Linked DNA regions of Sus scrofa. The protein of the gene in region 2 purifies or fractionates together with the protein of the main gene of each other region. This does not show direct contact. Links are inferred from orthologs where the notes say so. Each region holds a gene or a part of one and is shown on either strand. Other genes may lie near its edges. The genes, in order: ARHGEF7, NCK2 and TNIK.

What was found.
Region 1: the proteins of NCK2 (region 2) and ARHGEF7 purify together in Homo sapiens (affinity purification with mass spectrometry; 3 studies listed by BioGRID and IntAct, counting the BioPlex papers as one, with this or other methods). This does not show direct contact. The link is inferred for Sus scrofa from reciprocal best matches to the Homo sapiens genes NCK2 and ARHGEF7.
Region 3: the proteins of NCK2 (region 2) and TNIK purify together in Homo sapiens (affinity purification with mass spectrometry; 3 studies listed by BioGRID and IntAct, counting the BioPlex papers as one, with this or other methods). This does not show direct contact. The link is inferred for Sus scrofa from reciprocal best matches to the Homo sapiens genes NCK2 and TNIK.

Annotation. Positions count from the first base shown.
Region 1 is NC_010453.5:77,422,853-77,432,696, forward strand, and holds the start of ARHGEF7 (rho guanine nucleotide exchange factor 7), read left to right. Parts: upstream 1-4,499; 5' UTR 4,500-4,723; coding exon 4,724-4,888; intron 4,889-9,844. UniProt on the Homo sapiens protein: Acts as a RAC1 guanine nucleotide exchange factor (GEF) and can induce membrane ruffling. Functions in cell migration, attachment and cell spreading. Promotes targeting of RAC1 to focal adhesions. May function as a positive regulator of apoptosis.
Region 2 is NC_010445.4:49,061,080-49,070,647, forward strand, and holds the end of NCK2 (cytoplasmic protein NCK2), read right to left. Parts: intron 4,150-9,568; coding exon 3,955-4,149; downstream 1-3,954. UniProt on the Homo sapiens protein: Adapter protein which associates with tyrosine-phosphorylated growth factor receptors or their cellular substrates. Maintains low levels of EIF2S1 phosphorylation by promoting its dephosphorylation by PP1.
Region 3 is NC_010455.5:109,646,359-109,656,102, forward strand, and holds part of TNIK (TRAF2 and NCK-interacting protein kinase), read right to left. Parts: intron 9,442-9,744; coding exon 9,341-9,441; intron 6,697-9,340; coding exon 6,547-6,696; intron 4,776-6,546; coding exon 4,616-4,775; intron 4,369-4,615; coding exon 4,229-4,368; intron 2,054-4,228; coding exon 1,970-2,053; 3' UTR 1-1,969. UniProt on the Homo sapiens protein: Serine/threonine kinase that acts as an essential activator of the Wnt signaling pathway. Recruited to promoters of Wnt target genes and required to activate their expression. May act by phosphorylating TCF4/TCF7L2.

The DNA.
Region 1 (9,844 bases), on a different chromosome or scaffold from region 2:
AAAACCTTACCTAATAAATATAAGCATATAATCTCTTGAGCCAAGCGTATTCATCCTTGTATGTTCATGGGACATTTAAATCTTAGCAAACTTTGAAAAGCAGAGATTTAAAGGCTCCATTGACTAACCATGGTCAGTGGCCAACAAACGCTCAATTCTTGTTCATTAAGAGATACATTCCTATGAAAGAGCGGATCAAGGAAAAGTGCAAATCGCCTTGGAAGCAATGAAGAAGGAAGTACTTTCTAATAAAACCCATGGGGAGCTCCCCCTGTGGCGCAGGATGTTAAGAATCTGACTGCAAAAAGAATCTCTTTCTCTCTCTCTCTCTCCACACACACACACACATATATAAAACTGGGTCACTTTGCTATACAACAGAAACTGACAGAACATTGTAAATCAACTATAATAAAAATAAATACTCAAAAATAATATTGAAAAAACAAGGCTACCAAAAAAAAAAAAAAAACCCGACTGTTGTGGCTCGGGTCGCAGTGGAGGTGTGGGTTCACTCCCTGGCCCCGCGCAGTGGGTTAAAGGAGCCGGCGTTGTTGCAGCTGCGGCAAAGGTCAGGTGGCTGTGGCTCAGGCTCAGATGCAGTTCCCGGCCGGGCATTTCCAGGTGCTGCGGGTGCAGCCGTAAAAAAGAACAAGAACAACAACAACGAAACCTCGTGGGACAGAGTGAAAGCCGTGTTCAGAAAAAAAAATAAATAAATAAAAGGGTAACTAATCCCTCCTCTTGGAACATGAGCAAAGGCAGCGGGAAGAACCACGGCGGATCTGGGCGTCAGCCCACGCCAAAGCCAACACGGCCAAGCCCAAGTTTCACTGCTGCTGGCAGATGGCGTAGGACCCAGGGCCAGAGACCGAGGCCCATGTGACTCAGCCGAGCAGAGAGCACGGCCCCTGGTTCCCACCAGGACCCCCTGTTCCCAAGTCCAAGGCAGTGCCGGCTGGGCTGGGGCGGGGGGCACGCACGGGTCATGGCTGAGGAAGAGGAGCCCCAGTTTACAAGCCCCGATCTTTAAAGGCACTCTCAGTGAGCCCACCCACACTTTGCCTCGCTTTTCTTTTTGTTTTTGTCGCTTCATAGGGCCGTCCCTGCGGCATATGGAGGCCAGATTGGAGCTACAGCTGCTGGCCTACACCACAGCCCCAGCTGGGAACGTGGGTTCCAGCTGTGTCTACAACCTACACCACAGCTCAAGGCAATGCGGGATCCCTGACCCACTGAGTGAGGCCAGGGATTGAATCCGCATCCTTGTGGATACTGGTCAGGTTTGTTTCCCCTGTGCCATGATGGGAACTCCAACTTTGCTGTTATTTTCAACCTGCTGGTCAGCAATCAACTTCGTCCTTTGCCTCGGAGGGGACCATGTCTCCATCTTTGAAAGGCTGTTTGGTCCCGAACACTCCTGAAAAGGTAGAACAGAAGCTGTCACTACTTCCGCTCAGATATTCAGAAATGTGAGAGCCTCGCAGACTAACAGCTCCCAACAAGGACACAAATGAGAAACTTGGGAGAGGGAAATAAACTGAAATGCATGAAATATATTTTTCAAAATCCATGAATTCATCATGATAACTTAAAAAAAAAATCACTGGTTTCCTTTGAAGGAAGCTGGGTCATGACATTGAAAACTGGTAAACGCAGAAAATTAGCACTTACCGCCTGTCCAACACAACGGTTCACACAGCTGACACGAACAGGGCTCCAGGGATAAGTACCAGGGACTGTCAAGCTTGTCCCCCCACCCGACCCCACCCGAAGTCTGGAACCTGGGAGGGGGTTACGGACGGCTGCTGGGACCAGTGAGGATGACGGTGGACCCGTCATGGGTGTGTTGGGACGAGTCTGGTGCCGAGGCAAGAGACACCCTGAGATTTCGCGTTTGCTCTGATGTCGAGTGACAGGAAGCACGGCCTCTGGTGGGTGTTTCCGAGCCACGATCCTGCTTGTGGGTTGACCTTTCTCCCCTCAAAGGTAGGTTCAAGTCTTAACTCCCAGGGCCTCTGGACGTGGTTTACGAATGGGTTTGCTGGATAATTCGATGTGAACCAACAATGGCCTGCTGCCTGGCTCCAGCCCAGCTCCTGCCAGGGCGAAGGGCAGACAGGGCGGAGAAGCTGGCCTACCGCCTCTGTGCACAGATGTGTGGGCAGTGCTGGGTGGCTGGGCTCCTCAGTGGGGGTCTGGAAGGGGCGAGATGGGATGAGGGGTTGCCAGGGAGTAGGGAAGGGCCTGTGATCCCCTCTCAATCTTTCAGGGAGCATCAGTAAAGGGGCGCTTGGCAACCGGTGCTCAGGTGGTGTCTGTAGCTGAGGGCAGCCAGGCCAGGCTCTGCCTGCCCCGCCATCGCCCTGCACAGAGGGCCATGGGCGGTGTGGACAGTGCGGTCGTGGTGGCGGGGATGGAGGTGTGCAAGAGACCTGCAGCGTGGACCCCCTCTCACCCACGGCCGAGGCTGCTTCTAACCCAATGCTGGTGGCAAGTTGGTTAGGGCAGAGCCCTGCATCCTGGAGGGAGAAGCAACCCACCTTCTGGGTAGACACCTGTAGGAAGCCAGCTTGGGGACAGCCTCCTGCAGGGCTAGGGGCCTGTCTTTCAGCGTGGCACACATGTTGAGCCAGTGGCTTTTAGATGGTGACGTGCCCCCCCCCGTAGCTACATAGCAGCATTACCATCACGCCCAACGGTCCAGGTGGGGAGTTTGCACCTTCCGCTCTTGCAATTCGGCAGTAATGAGAGCAAACAGGAATCTCGGGGAACAGCTACTCTCGACTCAACACCCTTCTGGTGATAGAGTCTCCTTGGGCACAACACTCGATGGAGCTGATAACTGCCCAGTTTCCCAGCAAGTGTACAGGGCGAGGTTTGGACCACGGGTGGGCTGTGTCCGTGCTGGAGCTGCAGAGCCCAGGCTTGAGTCCACCTCTGCCACTTTGCCACCTGCTAAATGGGGACGATGAGAGGAACTTCCTAAGACTGTCGCAGTGACTGTGCCACGCAATGCGGGGAGCTGTGACCGCCGTGCACATGGCCCTTATAACCCAGAATTCAGACTGCCCTTTGAATCACTCTGCGTTTGCATTCGGAAAGAAAACTTAACCACTTAATTCGAAGCTGGGAATAAACACAATTCATGATTACAAAAGAAGGACTCCGCAAGAAGGCAGAGGAAGAGGTGAGCTAAGCCTGTGGGTTTTTTTAATCTTCGTGTTTTCTGGCCTTTGTCACCAATTGCATTAACATATGTGCTTGGCACAGAGCAAGTTCTCTGTAGGTGACTGCGAATGCTGTCTTAAATTGCCCCGGGCAGTCATAGCCCGCAAACAGGCAAAGTGCACACTGGGTCCCTCCAAGGAGAGACGCTCCCTTCCTTAGAAGATGGTGTGTGTCAGCCCTCCTCTGAAGAAGTTTTTTCGTGGCTTAGCAGTTGGGCGGCTGAGCTCTTCAGCTCTGGCCCATTCGGACGCAGCCAGGTCTCTGACTGAGACCTCTTGCTCAGGGCCAGTCCAGCCAGGTTGCTTGTTTGGACTGAGTGAGCTGTCCTCACCGTCCTTCCTCCGGGATCATCTGCCCAGATCCAGTTCAGGCTCTGCTGTGTTCCTGACCTTCCTCCCACAGTGTCTGAAACAGCGCCATCAAGTTAAAGCCGAGTGGCTCCAAGGCTTCCGGTCGGGGAGAGTGGGACCACCGCATCCCGGCCGGTGAGGTCACGCACGCGGACGGGCCTCCCAGCAGAGGGCACGCGTGACCCCGGCCGCGCCACGCTCCGGGGCGTCCCTGTCCCCAAGGATGGCAGCAGCCTCAGGAAAATCAGTTCCTCCCCGAATTAGGCCCATCTGGTCACAGATTTAATTATCGTTGTGTTCGGTAATTATTGGCTTGCAAGGTAGCTGAGAGAAGCAAACGTCTCGTTTTCAGCTCCCCCCGCCCCCAACCTCTTGGGGAAAAAAAAAAAAAAAAAACCTGGCAAAAATAACGTTCATGAATTAGAAGATAAAGGATTCCGGGGCTTCCGAGGAGGGAAGAGGCGGCGGAAGGGCCCGACGGCGAGAGGAGCCTGGCTGGGCTCTCGCCTCAGAGGGGGCTGCGCTGGGGACCCGCCGGGCGCCAACGGCTACGGGCGCGCGCGGCCCGGAGGGTAGGAGGCCCGGCGAGCCCTCCCCGGCCGGCGGGCTGTCGCCTCCTGGAGGTCACCGGGCCCTTGGGGCGGGGGCCCAGCACCCGGCGGCGCAGGTGGGGACGCGCGCGCACAGCCGGCCCGGGTGCGGAGGGCGCACGGCGGCGGGCCCGGGCGGGCGCGGGGGCGCGTGTGCGGCAGCCGGGTGCCGGCGCGGCCGGGGGTCGGGGGGCCGGGAGGCCGGGGGCCGGGGCGCGGGGCCGCTCCAGCGCGGCGTCTTTCTTCTCCTCGCAGTGATGTCATCGGCGGCAGCGGCTGGCAGCCGGGAGGCGGCGGCGGGGGCGGCGCCGGGCGGCCGCCGCAGGTTCATGTGCATCTAATGAAAAGGCACTTGACAGTCGGCCAGGACGCACGCGAGGGAGCGCGAGCCGGCCGGACCGCGGCGCCGCCCGAGCCAATCGCCGTCGCCGGCCTCTCCATGGGCGAGCAGGAGGAGGGGGCGGTGGGCGCAGCCGGCCGGGCCGCGGCCGCTCCGAGGTGAACCGCGCCGAGACGGGCTCGCGGCGCGGGGAGGCCGGGCGCGCCGCCGCTATGAATTCCGCCGAGCAGACCGTTACGTGGCTCATTACCTTGGGGGTGCTGGAGTCGCCCAAGAAAACCATCTCGGACCCGGAGGGCTTCCTGCAAGCGTCTCTGAAGGATGGGGTGGTCCTCTGCAGGCTGCTGGAGCGCCTGCTCCCCGGGACCATCGAGAAAGTGAGTGCCCCCCGGCCCGCGCCCCCGCGGCGGACAGGCCCGGGCGCTGGGAGGCCCGGCGGGAGGAGTCCGGGCGGTGGGAGCCCCGGGCGGTGGGAGGCCTCGCGCCCCACCTGGCCCCCGCCGCGGCCCGGGATGCGCGGAGACGCTCGGGCGCAGGGTCGCCGGCGCCGGCACCTGGTGGCCGCGCGGGCCGGGAGAGCGCCGGGCGCCGCGGAGCCCACGCGCCTCCTTTGTGCGCGGACCCGGGAACGCGGCCCGCGCGGGGGGCGCGCTGGCGGCGCGAGGACCCGGTGGCGGGATCCCGCTCGGGGCGCCATTGTGTGCGGTGGCCGCCGGGGAGGGGGCCGGGCCGGGTTCAAGGGGAACGGCCGGGGGGAGGCCCGGAGGGAAGGGGAGCGCTCCGCTCTGCCCCGCCCGGAGGAGGAGTCGCCCCTCTCCGCGACCCGAGCCGAAAACCAACCGCTCCAGCGCCGCGCACAGCTGCCTCGCAGGCTTTGTTTGAACAGCTTTTGTTGGTGGTACCGTGTGAGAGTTTCGCCCTCTGTTTAACTGACCGATTGCGGTGCGTTTTTAAAAGATGCATTTATCAATAGCCGAGGGTGGGCTGTGAAATGATTTGCTGCCCTCCCCGCGGAACAATTCCCCTGTCCCCAAGCCCAGATGGCAGGCGCAGGAAAGCCCCGGCGTTCTTCAAGTCTGGCATAAGATCCTAGATTTCATTTTCAGGTTCCTACCTGATTTTAAACAGAGCCCCTAGTCCTGGAGACGTCTCTTCTATTGCCTGGTGGTTTCCTCGGGGCTGGAGTGTGAACCTTGACCACAACTCTGCGAGGGATTCAAGTTTGCTTCCTCCGGCTCCGTTGACTAAGTAGGGGCGAGCGGGTAGAGCGGCGGATCCCTGTACTTCAAAAACACTGCAATTCTATCCTAATTTTTTTTTTTTGCCAATACATAATCTTAATATCAGCAGTTACTTAAATGGTTTAAATGTAGAAATTAAAGTGCAGACTAATGAGAAATACTATTTAACTTTGAAAAATGGAGTATATCGGCCCAGCAGCACAGTATTAATTTGCTAATAATAAAATGTTAATTAGGTGACTTTAAAAAGTAAAATGTTTAATCTTTTTAAGTTTGCTCATGTTCTGGCATGGCATTTTAAAGGTCAGAAAAGATTTTATGTGATATGAGTTGTGTATACATATGAGTTTTAGGTATTTTCTTACTTGCAACATATTTCGGAAAGCAGAATCTGCATTTTAGGATGAATAGCCCTGGTCTGTCTGTCCAGGAAATAAAAATGGTGCTTCTAAATGAAGCTGATGTCACAATAAAATTATGATTGAAGATAGGAATAAGGAGCAGGAGCTAACTTTGAAGGCACAGAATACTTGGTTGTTATCTGGATATCAGGACCTCTAGTAATAAAAGACAGATGTTGAAACGCATTGAAAATGCAGGCTAACTTTACCAAAATGGGCTTATGTAAAAAAAATGGTTCCATTCCAAGAGTGAAGCTTTGAGAAACTTCAGAGGCTATTTGACCAAAACCTGTCATTGTTGATGCATGTGTTATTTGGCATATTCGCTGCGTGCCTATTGATTGGCAGACCTCAATAATCACTTTCTTTTAAATTGTTGAACGGTTTTCTTAGAAAACCATAGCATTCCTTTCACCTCGGAAACAACAAAGAGAGGAGTGAATAACATGTTTAATGCGCAGAAGCCCAACGGAAACAACCCAACATGTCCTAAAACTGGTCATTTGGAAACTTCTTACAGTGCAGCCAACCTTTTACCCCCCCGCCCCACCCCCCGCCCCTGACTTGTTTGTCTCAGAGGGACAATCTCAATGAAAGTTCAATATCAAAGTAGCACATTCTCTGTGGTACAAAGGTAGGTTTGGGGAGTAAAATATTAGCCATTCTCTGCCTCTAAAAACCCCTGGGTTTTAGAAGTCTCACGAGCCCGTTCCATTTCCTCAGAAGAGTATTTATTTGAACTTTCTGATGTTTGTATATGCACAGCAGATAGCGTTTGCCAGAAAGCACACGCGGTGAACAGCTTTTGCTCGAATGTTGGAATGTTAGTCTGAGGATGTTTTTCCTTCAAAAGGAACATTTGGGAACCTCACTGAGTATTCCTGTGGACGCGAAAGGATCTGAACTTGACCTCAGTTTGCCACATCAACACACAGGAGACTGGTTATCGGGGTGCAGGCAGCCTGCAACTTAACCTTTGCAAATGCACAAAATTTAAAACAAACCCTCAGGCTGGGGAGAGCATAGCGCAGAATCGGGAGAAGGTTCGGGGTGGCGCAGGGCTCCCATGTGCCTTTTATTAAGAAAGCATGTCCTGGTAGGTCTTGTGCTCGATGTTGGCTTGTTCTGTCTTAGGGCCGGCAAGAGGCTGGAGGACTAAACGGGAAGTTCGTCTCGGTTCAGACGGTTCTGCTCATTTTAAAAAGCATTCTGTTGAGGTTCCCTGCTTTCTTCGGGGGCAGGGGGTCCGACAGGACAAGAGGGGCTTATAGACTGTACACCAGCACTTCAGAAGACAGACCCGTCTCGTTATTGTCCACGATGTGGGGAGAGGAGGGGGTGTTACTAGTTCCCCCAAGTTTTGTACGAGGCTCTTCTGCTTTGACTTTGTCTAGTAATGGCTGGGATTTTGCTGACCTGCCCACACTGCTTGCGTCTGTCATTCCTCCTGTGATGAGAAACACACGCAGGCCACGGGAGCCAGGGAGCCCCGCGAATTAACACTTTAAACAGCTCTGGACTGGCTGGTCAGAGGTCGAAATTGAGAGACAGTGATATTCCCCCTCTGAGCTTCTGCACCATTAGGGAGACACAGTCAAATAGTGGAAGTCACACCAGGCTGCTTAATTCTACTGGTAAATGCAGCAGGTGCAGTTGCTTGCATCACCGTGAAATGTTCAAGGAACGTGGTTCTTCTCTCGTTGCCCAGGATGACAGAACACCGTAAGCGGTCACGTGTGGCCCCGGAGATGCCACCTGTTGGTATTAGTGGAAAGCAGCCGAAAGTCAGATGCCGCCCTCTGGTCCTGCTGGACACCCTGGGGGTGCATGTGCATTCAGACTGGTCGAAGCTGTCGGGCTGTGTCTTAGCTTCTCAGGGCTGTGGCAGCAAAGAACCCCAGCAGGCACCCCCGAGCGTCAGCCTCTCACATCCTGGAGGCGGAGGTCCCACATGGAGGTGGGGGCGGGGCGCTCCCCCGGCAGGTGCAGGGATGTTCTGTCCTGGCCTGTCTCCCCACCGCGTCTCCTCTGTGTCCAGACATCCTGTTATAAGGACACCAGTCCCTGGACGAGGGCCTCCCTCCCAGTGTGACCTCAACTTAACTGATGACCTTGGCAGCGACCTTGTTTCTAACTAAAGTCACGTTCTGCAGCCTGGGGCTCAGGGCTTGACCGTGCGCATCTCCGGGTCCCAGCCAGCCCACAGCAGGTGGCATGATAAGTTGGAACCAAGTCAACTTCCTAAGGACCTACCTGCCTGCAGGGGACCAGCTGCTGTGGGAGAAAATGAGACCAAGACACATGTTCTCATGGGTGTGCTGGTTCAGGAGAAAACAGCTGAAAACGAGCGCGGCGTGGGATGGAAGGCAGGGAGACGTCCGAGCCGGGCGTAGACGGAAAGGAGCGAGGAAGAAGTTGCTGGAGGGGCCTGCGTCCGAGCTGCCCAGCCTCTGACGCGTGTTCTGACACGTGGATTAGAATGTGGTTTGTAGTTCCCAGACTACGATCTGGCAGCGTGAACTGATCTTCCACGGGCTTGTAGAAAATCTTGGTGAATTCTGATGCTGTGTCGGAAGAAGACGTGGCTTTTTCCTAGTGGATTCCTGACCTGCCTTCTGCTCAGTCCTAGGATTCTGGGGCGGGGCGGGGGTGTGGGAAGGAAAATGAAGACCTCATGGCCGCTGGGCTGTAGTTCTGAGCGCCCACGGAAAGAAGTTTGCCTCTTTCGAGGCCCTTTTGCCCTGAGAAGGGTGTGGTCAGCAGCGGCAGTGTGGTGTGTGTCGGGGGTTGCCTTCAGGACGAGCTGGTTCGAGAGGCCAGCGTTCTGTTGGAAATAGCTGGTGAGGTACTCAGAGAGAAAAGCCATACGTCTTGTTCTTTTAAGGAGACTTCTTCAAAGTTTACAAACTGAAATATTGGCTGTATTAAGTTGCTTCTCATGAATCTGCTTAAGGTTTTGGAATGGTTTGTTTTGTAATAATAAACATCTGTTTTTGAAGCACGTGACTTTCAAGGACTGTCTCAGCCCTGCACCAGGGTGATTCTCGTTGGGGTTTTAGGCCCAGAGAAGGGGATGGCTGTGACTGTGTTGGCTGGCTCCTTCAAAATGAAGTGAGCACACATAAATTCATTTTAAATCGGGACCACCTCCAGTGCTGTCCTGAGTGCCAGGCTGGACGTGCTGCAGCGTTAGCAGGGCTGGGGGAGGGGCTGCAGGCTGGCCTGCAACTGCCTCTGGGAGGGACCAGTGTCTCTGCTGTCCCGGGACCCTTCTGTTAATAGCGGTGACACCTGTAGGGGTCTGCCCTCTCCTTTCTCTTTTAAAGAAGAAAAGCATGCGCGCCCTGGGTGGTGGGGGCCGCACTGGAAAGTGGTGGCACTCGGCTGCCGCCCCACAGTCACCTCGAGACTCCCGTTTCACAGGTGAGGACACTGAGGCCCAGCTGTCCCCCCCTCCCGCCCCCGCTAAATCAGAGGCGGTTCCTGCTTCAGGAATGATGGCTCAGGTGGGGGACCAGACGTGGTGGCCGTGGTGGACACAAGAGTCTGCCATTCAGCGGGCGGCAGAGGGGGCAGGGGCCGCGTGGGGGCTGCCGGGAGCTGCTCTGCCTGGCTGGGCGGAGGGGGCGCCCCCGGGGACAGCTGGTCAGCTCTCGCTCCGGCATCCAATAACCCTCGTGGGGCTCCCGGG
Region 2 (9,568 bases):
AGACCATCTGAAGGAATGGTAGGCTGGGATAGGCTGCAGGAGGTGTACACATAGGCGGGGGCCCAGCTAGGACCTGCCATGCAGCCCCCCAACCCACGGAAGATTCAGGGAGCCCCCCGCCCCCACGGTGGAATCTGAGCACTTGAAGAGTCGTGTCAAGGAGCATTTTCTCAAGGCTGGAGCTGTCACCCTCCAGGTTGACACATGCCTTGCGGCATATGGAAGTTCCTGGGCCAGGGACCGAATCTGAGCCACAGCTGTAGCAATGCCAGATCCTTAACCCACTGTGCCAGGCTGGGGATCGAACCCTTACCTTGGCAGTGACCCGAGCCACTGCAGAAACAGTGCTGGATCCTTAACTCGCTTCGCCACAGGGGGAGCTCTAATAAATCTATCCTTTCTATGCTGTCCAGTCATGGTATTTTGTCATAGCAGCCTGAGCTGAGTCGGGGCAAAGGCCTTCGGGGTGTTGGTTGTGGCTCGTGCAGTGCTGGCGCAGTGCCCGATGGCAGCCATGCCGTCCACTCGGGCTGAGAAAGGAAGGGCTTCCTGAGAGAGAATGCTTCCCAGGGATGTGGAATGTCAGCCACTTGGGGTGAGGACACAGGAGGAGGGCGGGCCATGTTGCACGGATCCCGAGAGGCTGGCTGGCACTTGCTGTGCTCGAGGGCATGTTGTGTGATTCCATGTACATGCCCGTGAACTTCAAAGAGGGACACAGCCCCACTGACTCCTGAGCGAACAGTCGGGAGAGCCAGAGGTTTGCTTGACATCCAAGAAGGAGGACCCAGCGCTCCCGCCAGGAGCTCCAAGGTCTGGACGAGGAGGCTGCTTCCTGGGACAGCAGACAGCACCTGGGCCAGGTTGTCAGAGCAGAAATGACATCAATCCCGCTAATCCTCCCCTAGCCGATGAACAATGCTGCATTCTAGTGAGAAAACCAGACCTGCCATCATTGAAAAGGAGTATTTTAAAAAAACATGTTCAAGCCTTTTTATCCTCTCCGTTCTGAACTTTGGACTTCAGAAGTTATGTGGGCATTCTGGCCTTGGGTGGGAAAAATAGTAGAAAAGTAGGTTATAAACTAGTCAGCACACAGAAAGCAAACACAGCACCAAAAATGCTTTGTCTGGAAATGCCAGTTTGGGCAGATATAAAGATTCTAATTATAAAAGACAGACAGCTTTAGCTCCCTGGAAAGAGGGCTTAAGGGCATTTGGCATAAGCTGCGTGTCAAGAGCTTGGTACCTCCAGACTGTAAGTCACAGGCTGCTTATGGAAAATGAAGGCACATTTAATACAGACAAATGAGAAGAGTCACACAGCTCCTGAAAGGCCTGACCTTTTGTGTCCTCCGCTGTCTCTGCAGAGGTGAGGGAACAGCAAACCAAGACTTGTCCAGGAAATGTGTGCACTTGCAGGAAGGTGATGGCAGGAAGGTGATGGCCACCTGGACAGAGAACGGGTGATGCACACTCCAAACCACACGGGGACCCTGCCTCAGCCCGAACCCATCAACACGCTTATACTGGGATTAGCGATTCGCCCTTGTCAACCTGGTGGCTGGATGGCCAGGTGGAACCTCACAGATCCGAATTCTGATCCACCCCAGGCAGCCAGAGTCTCCCTCCATGTTGTTGAGGTTAAAAAAAAAAAAAAAAAAAAAAAAAAAAAAAAAATCATCAGGAGTTCCTGCCATGGCTCAGCAGTAATGAACCTGACTAGTATTCATGAGGATGCAGGTTCAATCACTGGCCCCCGCTCAGCAGGTTAAGGATCTGGCGATGCTGCAAGCTTCATAAGTTCACAGACATGGCTCAGATCCCGAGTTGCTGGGGCTCAGTGGAGGCTGGCAGCTGCAGCTCCAATTTGACCCCCAGCCTGGGAAGCTCCATATACCATGGGTCTGTAAAAAGCAAAATAAATAAATAAATAAATAAAAATAAAAAATCATTGTCATTGTCAATTACAACTAGAGGCCTTAAAGAAGTTTCTGAGGCCAAAATGTGTGATTGTAGCGTGTCCTTTAATTACTGTGTAATTCAGTGTTTCCGCTTCCCTGGGCACTTGTGGTCTACCGGAATTCCCACACAAGGTCAACGTGGAACCCATGACAGGGAGATGGAGCGTTGGGAGGGAATGTGATCCACGATGAGGTCTGAACCCACCTGTGTTGTCTAAGGTGATGGGTCTGCCTCACCTGCTTGGACCTCTATTCTTATGTCACTGGGTGCTCCCCACCTCACGGACCAGACATCAAACTTCTAATTCATTGTCAAACTTCTTTATATTCAAAGGTAACAACCAAATCCCCAACTAAAGACAAAACAGGACTGGCGGGTGCAGTGCTGACTCAAACCACACCCACTTTTCTGCTGCCAGAAGGGCCATTCCTCACCCCCAGCCCCTGCCCAGCCCCTCCACGGTCACCTCGTGCCTTCTCCATCTGTGCTATGGGCATGCCACAGGGCCACTTGCCGGAGCAGGAACAAGGATACACCAAAGGCACCCTGGGCACACATCAGCTGCGGTCAGCCCACGGAGGCACGACACCTGCCCTGGGCTTTGTACTCCCAGTGCCCGGCCTGCGAGTGCCCATGCAGGCCTCCTGGGCACAGGGAAGGCAGACGGCAGTGGGGAGGTGAGCTGACCTGACTGCGGTTTGCTGAAATAGTTTTGAACAGATAATTTCCAAAGAGCAAAGTTAACACGAAGTTTGAGATTCTAGATCTCTTGGAGTTGCAGGCATTAAAATTTATTATTTCAAGATACAAAAATGGTAAAAAAAGAAAACATACGAGTGATAAAGTTGTTCAAATTCCTCTCTACAAACGCTCCCTTCCAGGCACCGGGTCTTCAGTCAAGGCTGCTGAGTCAGAGCTTCGCCAAGGATCAGCACACACGGGGTCTTGTCATAATACTTTTTTATTACAATATCCAAAAAACTGAGTATACAAGTTTAGGAGGTCCCAAGACCCCTTCCTCAACTGTAGGAATGTGCCACCTCAAGACTGTATATATTTCACCTATAAAGAAGTTCAAATGTAAAGAAAAAAAGAAAACGCAATTTCTTCATAAACATTCTGTGTCTCTCACTACCGATCACATATTCTTTTGTAAACCCTGAAAAATTTCCCCATAAAGCAAATAATATATATATATTTGTGTGTGTGTGTGTGTCAAGTGTCTGTCACGCCCCTCCCCCAAAGATCAGCTGTTCTCCTTAATCATCTGGATTAGTGTCAACAAATGGCTACAGATACATATAACTTTGAGAATTAAATACATAACTGTGAAATTGAAGCAAGCTGAAGGGCAAGAGGAAAAAGCACTATGCAGATGGCACGTCTGGGGGAAATTTCCAAAACCTCCATCTTTCCACGTCTCTGGCCCCGCCTTTGTGGGCCGACTTCCCAGGACCTCTTTTCTTTATTGCAAGCGCAGCCCCAAAGGCACTGGACAGCTTCTTCCCTCCTGTCTCACCGGGGGGCCCAGTATTGCTAGGAGCGCGTGGGGTCGCCCCCCGGAGTCTGGGGCTGTGTGAGCACCCAGCACCCGGATCCAGGGCCCCGGCAGGTGCCGCCCAGAGCCAGGCCCGCCGTTGAGGGTGCTGTAGCTCAGGAGTAAGGGCAGCTTCGGTGCATTCAAACCGCGCCCGGGTCCTGAAGGGGGGCCACATGGCGTGAGCGATGTCCACAGACTAAGGCTGTTTCCATGGAGAAGGAACAGGTGAGCCCTGGGCCCATGGCCCCCTCCCCGCCTCCAGAGCCGGCTGGGGGGGCCTGGGATGCCGAAGGGGGCAGATGGAAAACAAACCGACCCGGACAGAAGGGAAACCAGGCGGAGAGAGTGGTGCAGGACGAACCCCGGGGGCCGGCTGGTAGGAGGGCCCAGGATGTGGGCTTCTTCTGGGGTGCATGGCCGGGCTCAGGGAGCGCGGAGCACCCGGTGGTGTCACTGCAGCGCTCGGACGAGGTAGAGCTTCTCCCCGTGCTCACTGGTGAAGATGGGCGCCTTCTTGTAGTGCTCCACCAGCTCGTCCATGGTGTGGAAGCGCCGCTGCCCGATGCAGTAGACATTGTCCACGAGCTGCACCTTGAAATGCTTGTTCTTCCCTGATGCTTTGAGAGACACGGAGAAGTCACTGGGCTGTGGAGGAAAGAGAACACGGGTTAGCCCCGGGCTCGGAGGGACGCCGGGCTCCGCTTCCACCCCGGTGTGCAGAATGGCCCGGGGGCCATGGAGATGCTCATGCTCTGGATCAAAGGAAAAATTACCTTGTGCTTAGTGCAGTTTTGGTGCTAAATGTATTTTAGTTATTTGAAAACTGGAGATTCCTTATGGAATGTACAGCACCAGGGTTCACCAGTGTTAATTTTTTGGTGCCCAAGCTATTCCTTGGATTTGGAAAAAGTGGCAGCAGCTAGAAATTTCACTTCTACCACTATTATTAGTTCAGCCAACAGCATGGTAGTGGCACAAAAATAAGACACACAGATCGAAGGAACAGGACAGAGAGCCCAGAAGCAAACCACACACTTAGGGTCAATTCATCTACCACAAAGGAGGCAAGATATGTAATGGAGAAAGGACAGAAGTGCTGGGAAAGCTGGACAGCTACATGTAAATCAGAGAAATTACAAGACTCTAATACCATAAACACACACCAAAATCTCAAAATGAAAAGACCTAAATATAAGACCATAACACTCTTAGGGGAAAACGTAGAACACTCTTTGACATCAATTGCAGCGATAGTTTTTTGGATCCATCTCCTAAAGCAAAGGGAATAAAAGCAGAAACAAACAAATGAGTTCCTGTTGTGGCTCAGTGGTAATGAACCCAACTAGTATCCCTGGCCTCACTCAGTGGGTTGAGGCTCCGGTGTTGCTATGAGCTGTGGTGTAGGTCACAGATGTGGCTCGGATCCCAGACTGCGTTGCTGTGGCTGTGGTGGAGGCCGGCAGCTGCAGCTCTGATTTGACCCCTATGCTGCCAACTTCCCTTTGCTGCAGGTGCAGGCCTAAAACGACAAAAAACCAACCAAACCCCCCCCCAAAAACAAATGGAACCCAATTAAACCTAAAAGTGTTTGCAGAGCAAAGGAAACCATTGCTAAAACGAAAAGATAACCTACTGAATGGGAGAAAATATTTGTAAATGATGTGACTGATAAGGGGTTAATATCCAACATATACAAACAGCTCATACAAATCAACATCAAACAAACAACCCCAATTAAAAAGTGGTCAGAAGAACTGAACAGACATTTTTCCAAAGAGGATGTGCAGATGGCCAACGGGCACATGAAAAGATGCTCAACATCACTAATCATCAGGGAAATGCAAATCAAAACCACAATGAGGTACCATCTCATACCCGTCAGAATGGCTAGCATCAAAAAGACCACAGATAACAAATGTTGGTGAGGATGTGGAGAAAAGGGAACCCCCGTACACTGTTGCTGGGGATACAAACTGCAAACTGGTGAAGCCTCTACAGAAAACAGTATGGAGGTTTCTCAAAAAAAAACCAAAAAACAGAACTATCACATGATCCAGCAATTCCACTCCTGGGCGTGTTATCTGAAAAAAAAAAAAAAAAAAAAAAAACCCACAAAAACAATAATTCGAAAAGATACATGTACTTTAATGTTCATATTCACAGCAGCACCATTACAATTACCAAGATACCGAAGCAAGAGACAGGAAGGTTTGGCTCTGATTAGGTCTTGGGCTACGTATTATTTTCAGAATCACAGCCCTTAGAGGACTGGGGGCCCGCACAGGCTGGGGAGGGGGACACAGAACCTGAAAATTATCTCCCCAACCAGATGTCTAAGGAAGGAACCCTCATGGGGCAGAGATCTTCTGAGCCAGCCCAGGAGGGCGGGTGGGGATGGGGTGTGGGGGGCCTTGGGTGGACCCTCAAAAAAAAAAAAAAAAAAAGAGAAATGACCCATCAGGGATCCTGATGTCACAGATGATCCTGTCAACCAGCCCTATCAACATCATATTCTAAACAGCACAGAAGGGTACTCTCAGTAATTGTTTGCACAATTCTCAAATCACTGTGATTATCACAGGACTGACAAACGAGATGAATGCAAGCTGGCCTCAGCATCACCATCCAGGTCAGATGCTGTGTGTGGTTCTGAAAAGAGAACAAACTCAAACAGGTATCACCCAACAGGTGCTCTGCACGTGGAAGCCCTGCCACCACTGTCACACTGCAGTCAGTTCGGTGGACGAGGGGAAGCCCTGTGTCCAGCAGCACAAACATGCCAGGACCTGCTCAGCTCTCTCCTGGGGCTTTGTGTTGTCTTGAAGCGACGTTTGGTTTTTTTTTTTTTTTTTAGGGCCGCACCTGTGGCATATGTAAGTTCCCATGCTAGGGGTTGAATCGGAGCTATAGCCACTGGCTTACACCACAGCCACAGCAACGCAGTATCTGGGCCACATCTTCAACCTACACCACAGCTCACAGCAATGCCGGATCCTTAACCCACTGAGCGGGGCCAGGGATTGAACCTGCATCCGCATGGATCCTAGTCGGATTTGTTAACTGCTGAGCCACGATAGGAAGCCAAGCTCCTGCTCGTTTTTATAAGCACATGCATTCTGTGCCTTTAGATAAAGGTCGAGGGTGATCTCGGTTTTAGAGCTTAGCACAAGCCAGGCACTGAGGTAGTTGTATGTACAGCTACTTGAATCAGTTCATCATATGGAGGGAGTAGGTGACTCAGAGCTGGTAGATCATAGACTCAATATTCAGCAAGCCCCATGATCAAGAGGACTTTCTGAATTTGCTTTTAATTTAAGCTCTTCTACTGAATGTCCTGGTGTGTCACGTGTATGTGAGTTACGGCAGTCAAACTGCTGCAGCAGAGGTGGTTTTTAATGTTAGTGGGCTCCTGAGCAGAAACATGGAACTTAAGAATGTAGAACGAACCAAGTCTGTGTCAAGCTGGGGTTCTGGAGCTTTGGGGAATTCTCAGTTCAACGTGAGTACATTTTCCAGTCGAAGCACCAAACCGCACTGTTCTGTGTTACTGCCAGACATTCTCACCGCAGCCTGATGCTGAGCTGGACGGGCGCTTCTCACGTGGGGTTCCCAGAACGGCAGTAGCACCTGATCACCGGGAAACTCGTCACAAATGCATATTCCCAGGCCCCGCTCCAGACCCACCCCTATTCGGAAACTCTGAGGTGGGGCCTGACCGTCTGTGTTTTAACCTCCAGTAATCTGTGCTTTAGGAGCCCTTGGGGAGCCCTGACGCAGTCTGAGAGATGAAACCCGACCCTGCCACCACACAAGAGATGCTAATGTTCGGAGCCAGGAGGAAAAAGATGAATGTGATTTGTGAGCTATGCAGCCCCTGAAAGAGGGAGCTCAGGGGCCAAGCTGAGCCCCAGACTGCAGGTGCCTGGGGGAGGCCGTCCTGAGGAGTCAGGCTCTCCTCCAGATGTCTCCTCTGGGGAAGCCCCGGATTGGACAGTGGGGACACTCTCCCTGCCACATCGAGCCAGTCCCTTGGACCTGATGGAGATGGGGTTGCTCCAGACCAGGAGAGCTCTGCTCCATGAGCAGAGGACCCTCAAGAAGTCCCGCCACCAGTGTGGTCCCCCAGGTGCTGTGGTCCTCCTAGGCTGGCTTCCTGAAACCTCCTTGGGGGAGTCACGCGAGCCACGCTCACTGCACTGGCGGCAGGTGCTGGCAGGAGGATCCGGTCCCCTGCCCCAACCTAAGCTTGTTGGAGAAACTTGACAGCTGTGTGTTGGCCCCCCTGAATTGCAGAGGTCCGAGGCTCACAGCAGCCCAGCACCTGGGGCCTTCGGAGCTGAGACAGGAAGCTACCTGGGGCTGTCTGCAAAGGGCTAGGCCTGGTGAGGGGGAGTGAGCCAGCACTGCCACATGGTCAAGGAGTGTCTGCAGGATTGAGAAGCTGAAGACCCGCTTTCCCCAGGACTGAACCATTTCAACCGATGCCCTTGGTTTCAGAAGAGCCTGCACAGGTGCTCCCGGGGGTGGGCTCAGAGCAGGACCAGTCACGATGGCCCCGAGTGCCAACACTCCTCACTGGAGGGGACACTTCACTGAGCAACAAAATAGATGCGTCAACGGGGACTGAAAAATCTCCCCAAGGGCAGACAAGAGAATGAGCACAGAACAGCTACCGTAGCTCACCAACCAGGCAATTCAGCAGTGGGCGGAACCAAAATGTACCATTCAGAGACACAGACACAGCAAAGAAGATGATCAGCACAAGCTTAAAGGTAGCAGTTATCTCCAGCGGGCAGTGAGGTGTAACCAGAAGGCAGACATGGGCGTGAAAGCATCTCCCAGTGACTCTGACCTGGGCCCCATTTCTCCACCCTCCGGACCTGGGTTAAACAAGCACTTCTTAAATGAAGGTTTCTGTGTGCTGAGTGTCATAATAAAAGATGATCTAAAGGTGCTGAACTTGAAGCCAGAAGACTTGGCCTGGCCCCTCACTAGTCACGGGGCACAGGCATCTGTCTTTAAACATGGCTCCAGGCTCCTGTCCACCCCTCCCCCTCCTGGCTTTGGGGACACCAATTACATGTATGTGAAATCTCACACTGGATCCTGTGAATCTCAGTTCTGTTTATTACAACAAAATATCATAAACTGGGTGGTTTAAAAACATCAGAGGCCTCCCTTGTCCTTCTGGAGCCTGGAGGTCCACAAGCAAGGAGCTGGCAGGTTTGGTGGCTGCTGAGGACCTGCCTTCTGGTTCAAAGATTGCGTTCTCTATGCCCTCACATGGCACAGGGCCCGGAGAGTGCTCTGTGGTCTCTGCTACGATGGCACTAATCCCATTTGTGAGGGCTCCACCCCTAATCCCATCACACTGGGGACCAGGCTTCAACCTAGGAATCCAGCAAGGGTGGGCGGGGGGGGGGGGCGCCGGGGTGGGAATGGACCAACATATTCTGTGCACAGCAAAGCTCTATGCTCTTCTGCATTTTCTGTCCTTTTATATTTGTGTGTATGTATCCTAAAGTCTTTCTTCCTCTGAGCTATCTTCCTGTTTACTAATCCTTTCTTCAGCTGTATTTAATCTGCTATAAACCTAATGAGTTCTTTTTTTTTTAAATGGCCGCACCTGGAGTATATGGAAGTTGCTGGGCCGGGGGTCAAGTAGGAGCTGCACATGAGGCCTATGCCACAGCCATGGCAACACTAAATCCAAGCTGCATCTGCAACCTATGCACAGCTCACGGCAACACCAGATCCTTAACCCACTGAGTGAGGCCAGGGGTCAACCTCCATCCTCACAAGAGAAAACGTCAGGTCCTTAACCCACTGAGCCACAATGAGAACTCCCCTGAGTTCTCAATTTCAGTTATTGTATTGTTTTAGTCCTACGATTCTCACTTGATTCTTTCTTACTACTTCCAATTCTCTGCTCAGGTTCAACTTGATGAATTTCTCAAACCTATTAATCCATCTACCTTATTTTTTTGTATTTTTTAAAATTATAGTTGATTTACAATGTTGTGCCAATTCCCACTATATAGCAAAGTGATCCAGTCATACATAT
Region 3 (9,744 bases), on a different chromosome or scaffold from region 2:
ACCACAATGAGGACATCTTGGTGATCACCTCAAGATAATCCTCAGTTCCATTCCTGTGTTACCTGCTTGAAATAAATGCAAATGACAATCACCTTTACGGGAGGCAGGATCATCTACCTCTGAAACTAGAATATGTTCCCTTTCCTGTCCACCCTTGCCCAAACCACCAGACTGAAATGGCTCCATTTTCCTAATGTGTATTTCGTTCTCATTAATAGTACATCAGCTGCTCATGGATTTAGGCAAAATCAGTAGGATCATAGATTTTTAAAATATGCTTACAGTAATTGTTTTCTCCAGAAACAAGCCACATTAGTTTTGTTGTTGTTTGATTACTTTTCTCCAATTTTTCAAGAAGGATAATTTGGTCAACTACTGTTTTATTTTAAAATTATTGAATTCACCTGAGATTGCCAGTTGAGCTCTCTATATGTCTCCTGGAGATAACACTGCTGTGATGAACAGTAAAACAAAACAAACAAAACGAGGTAGGTTAAAACAGGAAGCGCAACACAGATATTGTTTTGCAACACCTTGATACCACAGGCGGCCATGCTTGTAGCTTTGGAAAAAAAAATCCCAGACAGTCACATAAAAGTTCGAATCATCCGTTTAAGAGTTTATAAGGACACGAGTCAACCTGAACTAAATACATACATATCTCTGCACAAATATTGTTTACCGTATGTTGGGTAATTTGGAGGAAGGTAAAATGATTAGGGTCTCAGAATTTTGGCCAAAGCCTTGCTTTCAACTTCTATAAAATCTGAACCAGTGATGCCTGCTGGGTCTCAGGCAGGCTTAGTAGTCTAGTCCCTTCTCTCACCAACCCAGAGAGAACACAGGCAGCTCAGAAACATTTATTATTATTATTTTTTCAGTCACAGTTTTCATCTGGAGAAAGTGGCACCTTCAGGAGAAAGCTGGGAATGACCAGAGCCTGGTTGTCATTTATTCCCCAATTCCCGAAAAGAACTCAACAGGCTTAACTCCCAACAAAGCCTGAACAGAGTGACTTCTTAGGTGGGGAGCTTTGTGCATTAAAAAAAAATATGTGTGTGTGTGTGTGTATACATTTTTAGCTTGTTTCCAGAAGCTCTTTCTGTCTGACCCCATCTGTCATCCCGCCTTTTGCCCTGAACTGTTGCATAATCACTGAGGGAATATCTTATTAGAGAGCCCCTCATCCACTGGAGCCAACTCAACTCAATGGCACTACTATCCCATTGTACAGGGCCATCTCAAATAGGGCCTGTCCCCACAAACGGTAGCTGATTTTATTAGTCTAAGGCTAGTAGTTTAGCCATTTAAAATCTATTTCCCAAAAGAGGGGAAAACTACTATTTTTCTTCTCTTTTAAAAATTCATTAGCAGTTGCTATCAAAAAGCAACCTTTTGGGTTGGTGAAGGCGGAAGTTCTGAAATCACCCCACTATGCAGTTATAGCCTTCAGTGTAAAGAGATAAGGTACATTTATTGTGCTGTCTCTCACCACTTGAAATTGGAAATTTTACAACATATCATATACTTAAACCTAGCAGGCAGACAGAATTAAAAACAGACATTTTTTCTCAGTATGCATTCTCTCCCCATTCTTACAAAGTAAGGGGGTAAAGAAAAAAAGTAACAAAACAAAACAATCCACCGTAACACAGCTTAATCATAAGAGCACACAATATTTGTTTCTATCCCTAACTCCGAAGGGCACATGGTCCATCTTTGTCCACAGACAACGCAGCATTCTTGGGGATCTCCTGGAAATTCCTGCCACCCTTTTCTCTCCTTCTCAACCAGGCTGCAACATTGAAAGATGGACTGTATTGGGACGGGTAGAGGGAGAGGAAAAGGGGAAAGCGGTATGTTCAACCAAGCCTTCTGATTCTGCCTCTAGACTGGCATAAGTCCACATGAGTTATGTTCTTTTAAATTAGAAATAACGCCATGAAGATAAGTGCCAAGTGCTCTTCTGTTACCAGTTCATCATGGAATTTCTGTTGAGGGTCATGAAAAACACTTGGCTACTTCCTCCAGATCGCACGGATGCAAAAAATACCTGTTTGAAATTAAAAAAAAGTTAGTTCAACTGCATGGTTTCTTTCCCTCTTTTCTTCAACCGTCCATCCATTTTCTCTCACATGTTCTATCCTTGCCATGTGTCAGCATTTAAGACTCAAGGGCAGGTGTTTATAAAGTGCCTTTTAATACAGTGCATCCTCTGCCTTTATTCCTATAGTGGTTGCTATTACTTATCATGGTATTGGCCTTCAGGGACCCAGAAGGGGCTATATCTTGATTTGGAGCAACCCTTTGGGGGTTCACATTTTACAAGGGAGTTTCCTACTGGGAAAATATGCTGGATTTCTGGTCTAGGATACAACAGGTCCTTTGTTAATTTTTGGAAAACCGCAGGGGCTCTCCTTTGCTCTCTCATTATGACAAGAGGGCGGACCTTGGGAATGAAGAGAATCCTGTCGACTTCACAAAGTCAAGGGGGAACGTGGGGGCTTACTGACTATGATACAACTTTGGTTATAAATTTTTAAAATAAAAAAAGTAGTTCTGGTTAGCTACGGTAAGGTGTTTAATGTCTATTCACTTTGGCATTTCAAGAGTTAACTTGTAGCTTCTCTGCTGATGAAGCATAGCCTAGCCCAAAGGAGATCACAGCATTAATGAGAAGAATCACAGTCCATTAAGTCTGGGTCTGCTAAATCATTTTATCAAACAGATGAGAGCAGTGAGCAAAATTTGGGGTACTGCTTGCTTGAGGTGAACATCAATGAACCACTGCCCTAGGAAAATAACATTCTGGGCTGTGGCCTAGCCCTTCAGTCAGCCAGCACCAAACTTTGGTCCAAGGCATTTACTTTTATCACTAGTATAAAGTCTCTGCTACCTCATTTCCACAACTTCTTCAGAAGAATGTTCTCTCCCAACAATTTAGGAAGTTCTGTGGAAATTCTTGTCATTCAACTAATGCTACATATGTAAGTAAAGCTACTGTTAGGGTCAATGAATTAAAATGGGGAAGGAAGCACAGGGGACCCATGGAAACACAATGAAGGAAAGAAAGGGCTGCTGTTCTCTCTGGGTTCTGCGTGCCCTGGCTCTAAACCTTGGACCCTGGATATTGGTGTGGTCCCAGCCTGCTCATGAGGGTGTGGACATGGTGTGGAGTAAGCTTTCTGGGATGGGTCTTCAATGAACTGGAATGTGGGGGTCCATGCTCAGATCACTCCTAGTCTTATGATCCCCAGAGACTAGATGGTAGCTGGAGTTTTACTTGGGGTCACTTCTGTTTACTAACATCCTCTGATAAGACCCTGGAACCCTCCTTGCCACGCTCAGCTGTTGTCCACCCAGACCACACCAGGTCAGAGTAGCTGGCTATTCCGGGATTGGACTAAGACTAGCCTGGCTTCTGAGGAATGGGCGTGGGCTAAGAGATGGACATCTGTTTAACCCATCACATTCTTTTCTATAGAGGTTTGTGTCTGCTGTTCTGGGGACAACATTTCTAGGTTGGCCATAGTCACAAAAGATGAATCCACAAATACAGTACAGTTTAGCTACTAAAAAGTCTGGGTTAGTCTACAGGGAGGGCAAGGGAGAAGCACTGCTGCAGAATTCCCTTCTGGGCGACTGATCATGCCAGATGGACACTGCCAATTTCACTGGAAAACAGTCCCCCTACAACACTTCTGAAGAAACATGGCTGGAATGACACAGGACATGGCACTAGTTGAGTTTGTGATTTTCATTCTTTGAGGAATGGGCGACACTCTCAAAAAAGTTTATATTTCTATATGTCAAATGTTTTACATTGAAAGTTGAATATAATGTGATGGATTAGGTCCCAATAGTGATTTTGTGAAAAGTCTAAAAGTGGACTACACGTTGACCCACTGTGAGGTGATTAATGATGGGCCAACTCTTCTAAGTGCTTAGGAGAATTTAGGGTATCTGCTGAGTCATTTTAAGGCCTGCAGGCCACAAAAGTTACTAAGAGTTTACAAGAAAGTTTTAGATGTTTTCATGTCTTTTTTGATGTGTGAATAACATATTTTGAGGGTTCACATGAATCAAACCAAATAATGCCATTTTAAGATAATATTGATTGCTTAACACAGATGTGATTCAAATCAGTATAAAGGAAAATGAAGGTTTCACAGGTACCTGGTGGTCTCTTAAAATGCAAACACTAATGCAAATGTTGAAACGGATTTACCTTATCATTTCTTTCACATAGAAACTTTAACCTTTGAGCTCGCTTATGCATAAATACTCCATCCAAATGTCCTGTTTCCACTGACCGGATCTCAATAGCTTTCTCGCCCCAGCCCATTATCTGATTGGAATGAATGTAGGCTGTCAAAAGGAATTTCCAAAACTGCATTAAAAACATTAGATGGGCAATAACTCACAGCATCTGTTCACATCTTAACCACAAAAATGACAAACGACTTGAGATAAACAGACAAAGCAAGTCTTACAAGTGTTATTCACAGACTTTTTTTTTTTTTTTTGTGGAATCAAATGGTTGTTTCACATTTCTTGACTTTCGTTTCATTTGGGGGGTGTAACTGCTGAAGGAGATAAGGAATGGTTAACCTACCCACAGACGTGGGCATTTCTCCCCATTGGAGCACCACATCCTTAGTTATCCGGCCGTAGGTGTTTACATACACCCCCTCATCCTCATAGCAAACAAGCATTTCCATTCCATCTGTTTTAGGCAAGATGACAATGGCATGAGGAGTGATATTGCCCTGAATCTAGAAGACAAAGAAAGGCCAGACATTATTCTTTTTAAAAATAAGACAGACTCTTGACTGTTAATCTCTAAGAATTTCAAAAAATAAAAATTAAAAAAAAGGGGTTTTCCTTTTTCTTTTTCCAGTTGCACTATAGGGACTGACATTTTGCTTTGCTTAATTTAACTGCTGACCTTTCCAATACCCTGGTAAATACAAACTTAGGCCCTTGGTCAAGAATCCAATTTACCTCTTCTTGAAAGCAAAAAGGACAACTACCTAGCATCTGTCCTGTGTCAAAAGAGGGCCCTTTACATAGGTAACTTCTAGCCCTTAGAATAGCTCTCCATGCTCAATGTCTTTGTCTATAGATGAGACAGCTGCATCTCAGAGGGGTTATATAACTTGACCAAAGCTGATGATAGAATTGGGATTTGAGCACATTCTCATGAACACTGAATATCTTGTATTTTCTATCTACTTCCAAAAAAGATGAGGAGAATGCAAGCCAGGGGAATCTGATGGAGGTTGCCTAAGTGGGGCCCAAAGTTGGGACCAAAACAGGCTATGAACACTCAACACAGATTGTTTATCTGGGTGCTAAATAAGAGGATAATCCAAATTAATGGCTTACTGAGAAAAAAAAAATTAAAAATTACCATTCATTAAAAAAAAAAAAACACATACTGTTCAAATAAATGTAGATTGACTTGTTCAAGAAAGAGAGACAGGGTGTTGCTCTGATCCCCTGGTTGAGAATGTCATGGTAGTGCAACAGGTGCTTGGTGGACATGAATGAGGACAATCACCACGATGGCCCTGTCTCCTCACCAAGAGTCCTCTGTGCACACAGACACACACGCACACGCACACACACACACACGTGTGCACACACATGGCAGCATGAAAAGCTGTGATGCAGCAATGATGACATGTGTCATGCACTAAAACCACTTCTTTTCAATTGTTGTACTTCTTTGGAGTAAAGTCTTTAAACTCCCAATATACCAAACAGCAACAGATTGGGTTTCTACCCTAAGTTAGCCTTGGGATTACATATATATAGGAAACAGAATTTACACTGCATTCATCCTACTGCATGAAACAGGGTAGCATTTCCCTTAAAAGTCATGTTTTAAGCAATGTGTCAGTATAGTGATATTAATACTACACTTTGCAGGGCCCTGTGCCAAGTACTTTAGATGTTTCACCTCATTAAATACTGATAATAACCCTGTATGATGGGTCCTTTTAGCCCCATTTTATAGATGTGAAAGATGAGGAATGGAAAGGCTGCCTAATGCATCCATTATTGCAAAGCAAAAACATGCTAGAGCCTGAGTATGTGCTCTGGTTTGATTCCACCACATCAAATTGTAAAGAGGAACACAAATAGCAAGAAAAGGACAATTGGCCTTCTCTCACATAAAATGAACCTATTTCCTTCAAAAACTGAAACTAGGAGCTCATCTATTGTGCTCTTGCTTAAAAAACAGAATGCTACCCTTGCATAAAAACATGATATGCATTTTAGTGTAAAATCCAATGAGACAAAATGTCCAGCTAATAGCAAATAAGTGCTATTATGCGTTACTCAGTTTTAAGCAGCCTTAACGAATTAAATTTACATGTTTTATTTATTAACAGCATCATCTATTTAGTGAAGGCTGAAAGTCCATCTGCTTTACTGATTAGTCAAAGTTAGCATGAGTTCCACTAAACAGGTGCTGAAACAAATCTGTACATGCAGGTTGTTGTAGAGTGCCTTGACAGTCCGCTTCCAGGAACTTACATGAGATGGTATGTAGATATCATAAGAGTTTCCTGAATCAACATCAATTACATGGAAACCAGTATGCGAACCAAAAATAACCTTTAATCTTTGACCTTCTTCTACTGTGAGATCAACAAGCAGTGGCTTGTGCTGGAGATCTGCAAAAGACTAAAAATCACCACATGAGTGTTCACATCATTCAAAGAAGTTATCTTAATAATTTTTTCCTTGAGCTATTTCCTATGGAAGTTCATGTCTAATTTTCTTAAACCGAAAGGCTAGGAAATCTTTCCCCTTCCTTCCTCCCTCCCTCCCTTCCCCTTTCTCTCTTTCTTCCTCTTTCTTTCTTCCTTTCTTCCTTCCTTCCTTCCTTCCTTCCTTCCTTTCTTTCTTTCTTTCTTTCTTTCTTTTTCTTTCTTTCTTTCTTTCTTTCTTTCTTTCTTTCTTTCTTTCTTTCTTTCTTCTTTTTCTTTCTTTCTCTTTCTTCCCTCCCTTCCTCCTTTCCTTCCTCCCTTTCTTTCCTTTTTTCTTTTCTTTTCTTTCTCTTTCTTTCAAGGATAATTGATTTACAATGTTGTCCCAATTTCTGATGTACAGCAAAGGGACCCAGACAAACATATACATACACATTCTTTTACTTATATTATATTTCTTTCAGTATTAGGTTTATCTCTATGCTGGCTCTAGGAGGAAGAGCTTGGCACCCCTTTCTCTACCCCTTGTCCTCCAGGGCAGAGAAGATGGTCTACAGTTGCCACTTCATCGTTTATGAAACACCTGTGCCTGGGTGCTGCTGTTTTTTTCCTCTTTATTTCTGGCCTTTTCTCTAAGAAGAAGGTCCAGTCACTTCTCTGGGTCCCTCCTTCCCAATGACAGCCAGGTCTGTGCAGAGACAGCCTGGGTGGGCAGCGGGCTGGCTCTGTGCTAAGCCTGTTCAGGATTAACAGGCACATACTCTCGTTCTGACCATCCTTCAGTGAGCGAGTGCATCAGATTGACACTTTCTCCAATTTGGGCCATAGCGAAGGATGGTGGGGGGTGGGCACATCTCAAGACTCATGGTTTACACTGGCTAGCTGGGTTTAACTAGCAAGGAAAAAAAGAGCTTCAGCTGTGTTTATTGTAGTTCTGTGTATTAGAACCCAGAGTCTAAGCCCTAGCTAGCTGTTTTCTTTTGCCATTATTTAATCCACACTCTCCCTGTATTGACCTTCAAGTCTGGGAGAGTCTTTGTGAAACCACAGGTGCCTCAGCTATGATGCCATGGCCACCTAACAGACCCCTCCCTCTTCATGTTACAATGATGCTAACATCCTTCCCAAGTATGGGACGTTCGAGGTTCATCTCCTTGTCCCAAGGCAGGGCTTGACACCCTGCCAGCTCCAGTCTTTCCTGTTCAAGTCCTTGCCTTTGCTCGTCCCTCTTTCCAGGCTGGGCAAGGTTTGCTGAACAAAGCATTTTGCACTCAACTGTTCACTTTGGCTAGTGAACGGATGGCGGTAACTTCAGAACTGGAACGGGGTCTTGATTGAAAAGCTTTGGCGAAGACAGATTTTGGCAGAACAGCAGCACCACTTCAGTTTTCAGGAGCCAGGCCTTAAGTGTTATTACTAACCCAAGCATCCCCCCAATTTTTCTCCATAAGCAGGGTTATGGAGGGGAGCCCATTTCCATGGATGAACCTATCTTCCTGAGCACATCACAGATGAGCTCCTTGTGCTAAGAACAAGATTGAAGTGGGGTGATTCAGCCTTGATGAGGGCCACATAATGTTCCCAAGGCAGCTTCTGCCCTCACATGGCATTAAGAAAGAATACATAATGGGTCAAAGAAAGGCAACAGTCATAAAGGTAGGGAGAAAAAGGGGGGGCCATGGAGATTTTATAAGGAGAGAGATGTAGGCAGAAAGAAAGAATGAACAGAAGATAAATTCACACTGGCTCTGGACAGACTGTATAGCTTTGAAAAACATCAGGGTGCCTGTAAATACTGGTCCTTCTGGCATTTGGGGGTCAACTTTCATGAGCTGGAGTCAACAGGACCAGCATATCCCAATCTTAATTCTGTTGAAGCTCATGAGTGATCAAGCCAGCCATGGTGGGTACAGACTTAGATAAGATAAAAAATGAAAAAGTGTCAAAATTGAAGGATGCAGAGAAACCAGGCCAGTTCTATACGTGATTACATTTAGTATTCATTTTAGAGCAGTCCAATAAGCAATGGGGATATAGGAACATCAAGTGAGTTTTAGGGACTTGACCCAAAAGGCTTAAGAGGATTATAAGATTTAGAGACTCAGTTCAACTTTGAGATTCAGTGCTGCTGTTGGTCTGCCTTTTTCAGACGAAATATCAGACAGTGACCTAGTTGGGTGGCTGTCAATGAATTTCATTGCCTAAGATCACAATGAATGGTTTGCCTGGTAACCATTCCATACTAAATCTCACTTTGAAATGACGATGCATAGACCTGAAATGGAGGAGAGGGTACCCAGATTTTAATTTCACCAGCTCAATACCATTTACTAATACCTAGTCGTTGCAAACAAATATGAGTTCCCACATTTTTTTTTTGGCCTTGCCTGTGGCATGTGGAAATTCCCAGGCCAGGGATTGAACCTGAGCCATAGCAGTGACAATGTCAGATCCTAACTGCTAGACCACTACGGAACTCCTGAGTTCCTACACTTTTAAGGAGGTTTATTATACATAGAAAAATTGGTGCTAGTCTATGTGAAAGATGGATCACTGTTAACTGGTGGGAACCTAAACTAAAAAATAGGACCTTGTTAGGAAATCACATGCCTGCTTACCTTAAATGCCATGAACTTATGATAAGGTTTAGGAGCCCAAGCATATATCTCCACAGCATTCTTTAAGGCAATCACCAAGAATTTGATCCTTTCATATTTAACTGTAACAGAAAAAGTATTAATTAAGAAATGTTTATTCAAAAAATGTTTTTATGGCCACATCTGCAGCATATGGAAGTTCCCAGGCTAGGGGTCGAATCAGAGCTGCAGCTGCTGGCCTATGCCAATGCCAGATCTGAGCTGTATCTGCAACCTACACTGCAGCTCATGGCAACGCCAGATCCACTGAGTGAGGCCACGGATTGAACCCACATCCTCATGGATGCTAGTCGGGTTTGTTACCTCTGATCCACAATAGGAACTCCCTATTCAAATTTTTGTATTAACAGAGATGTAAATCACTA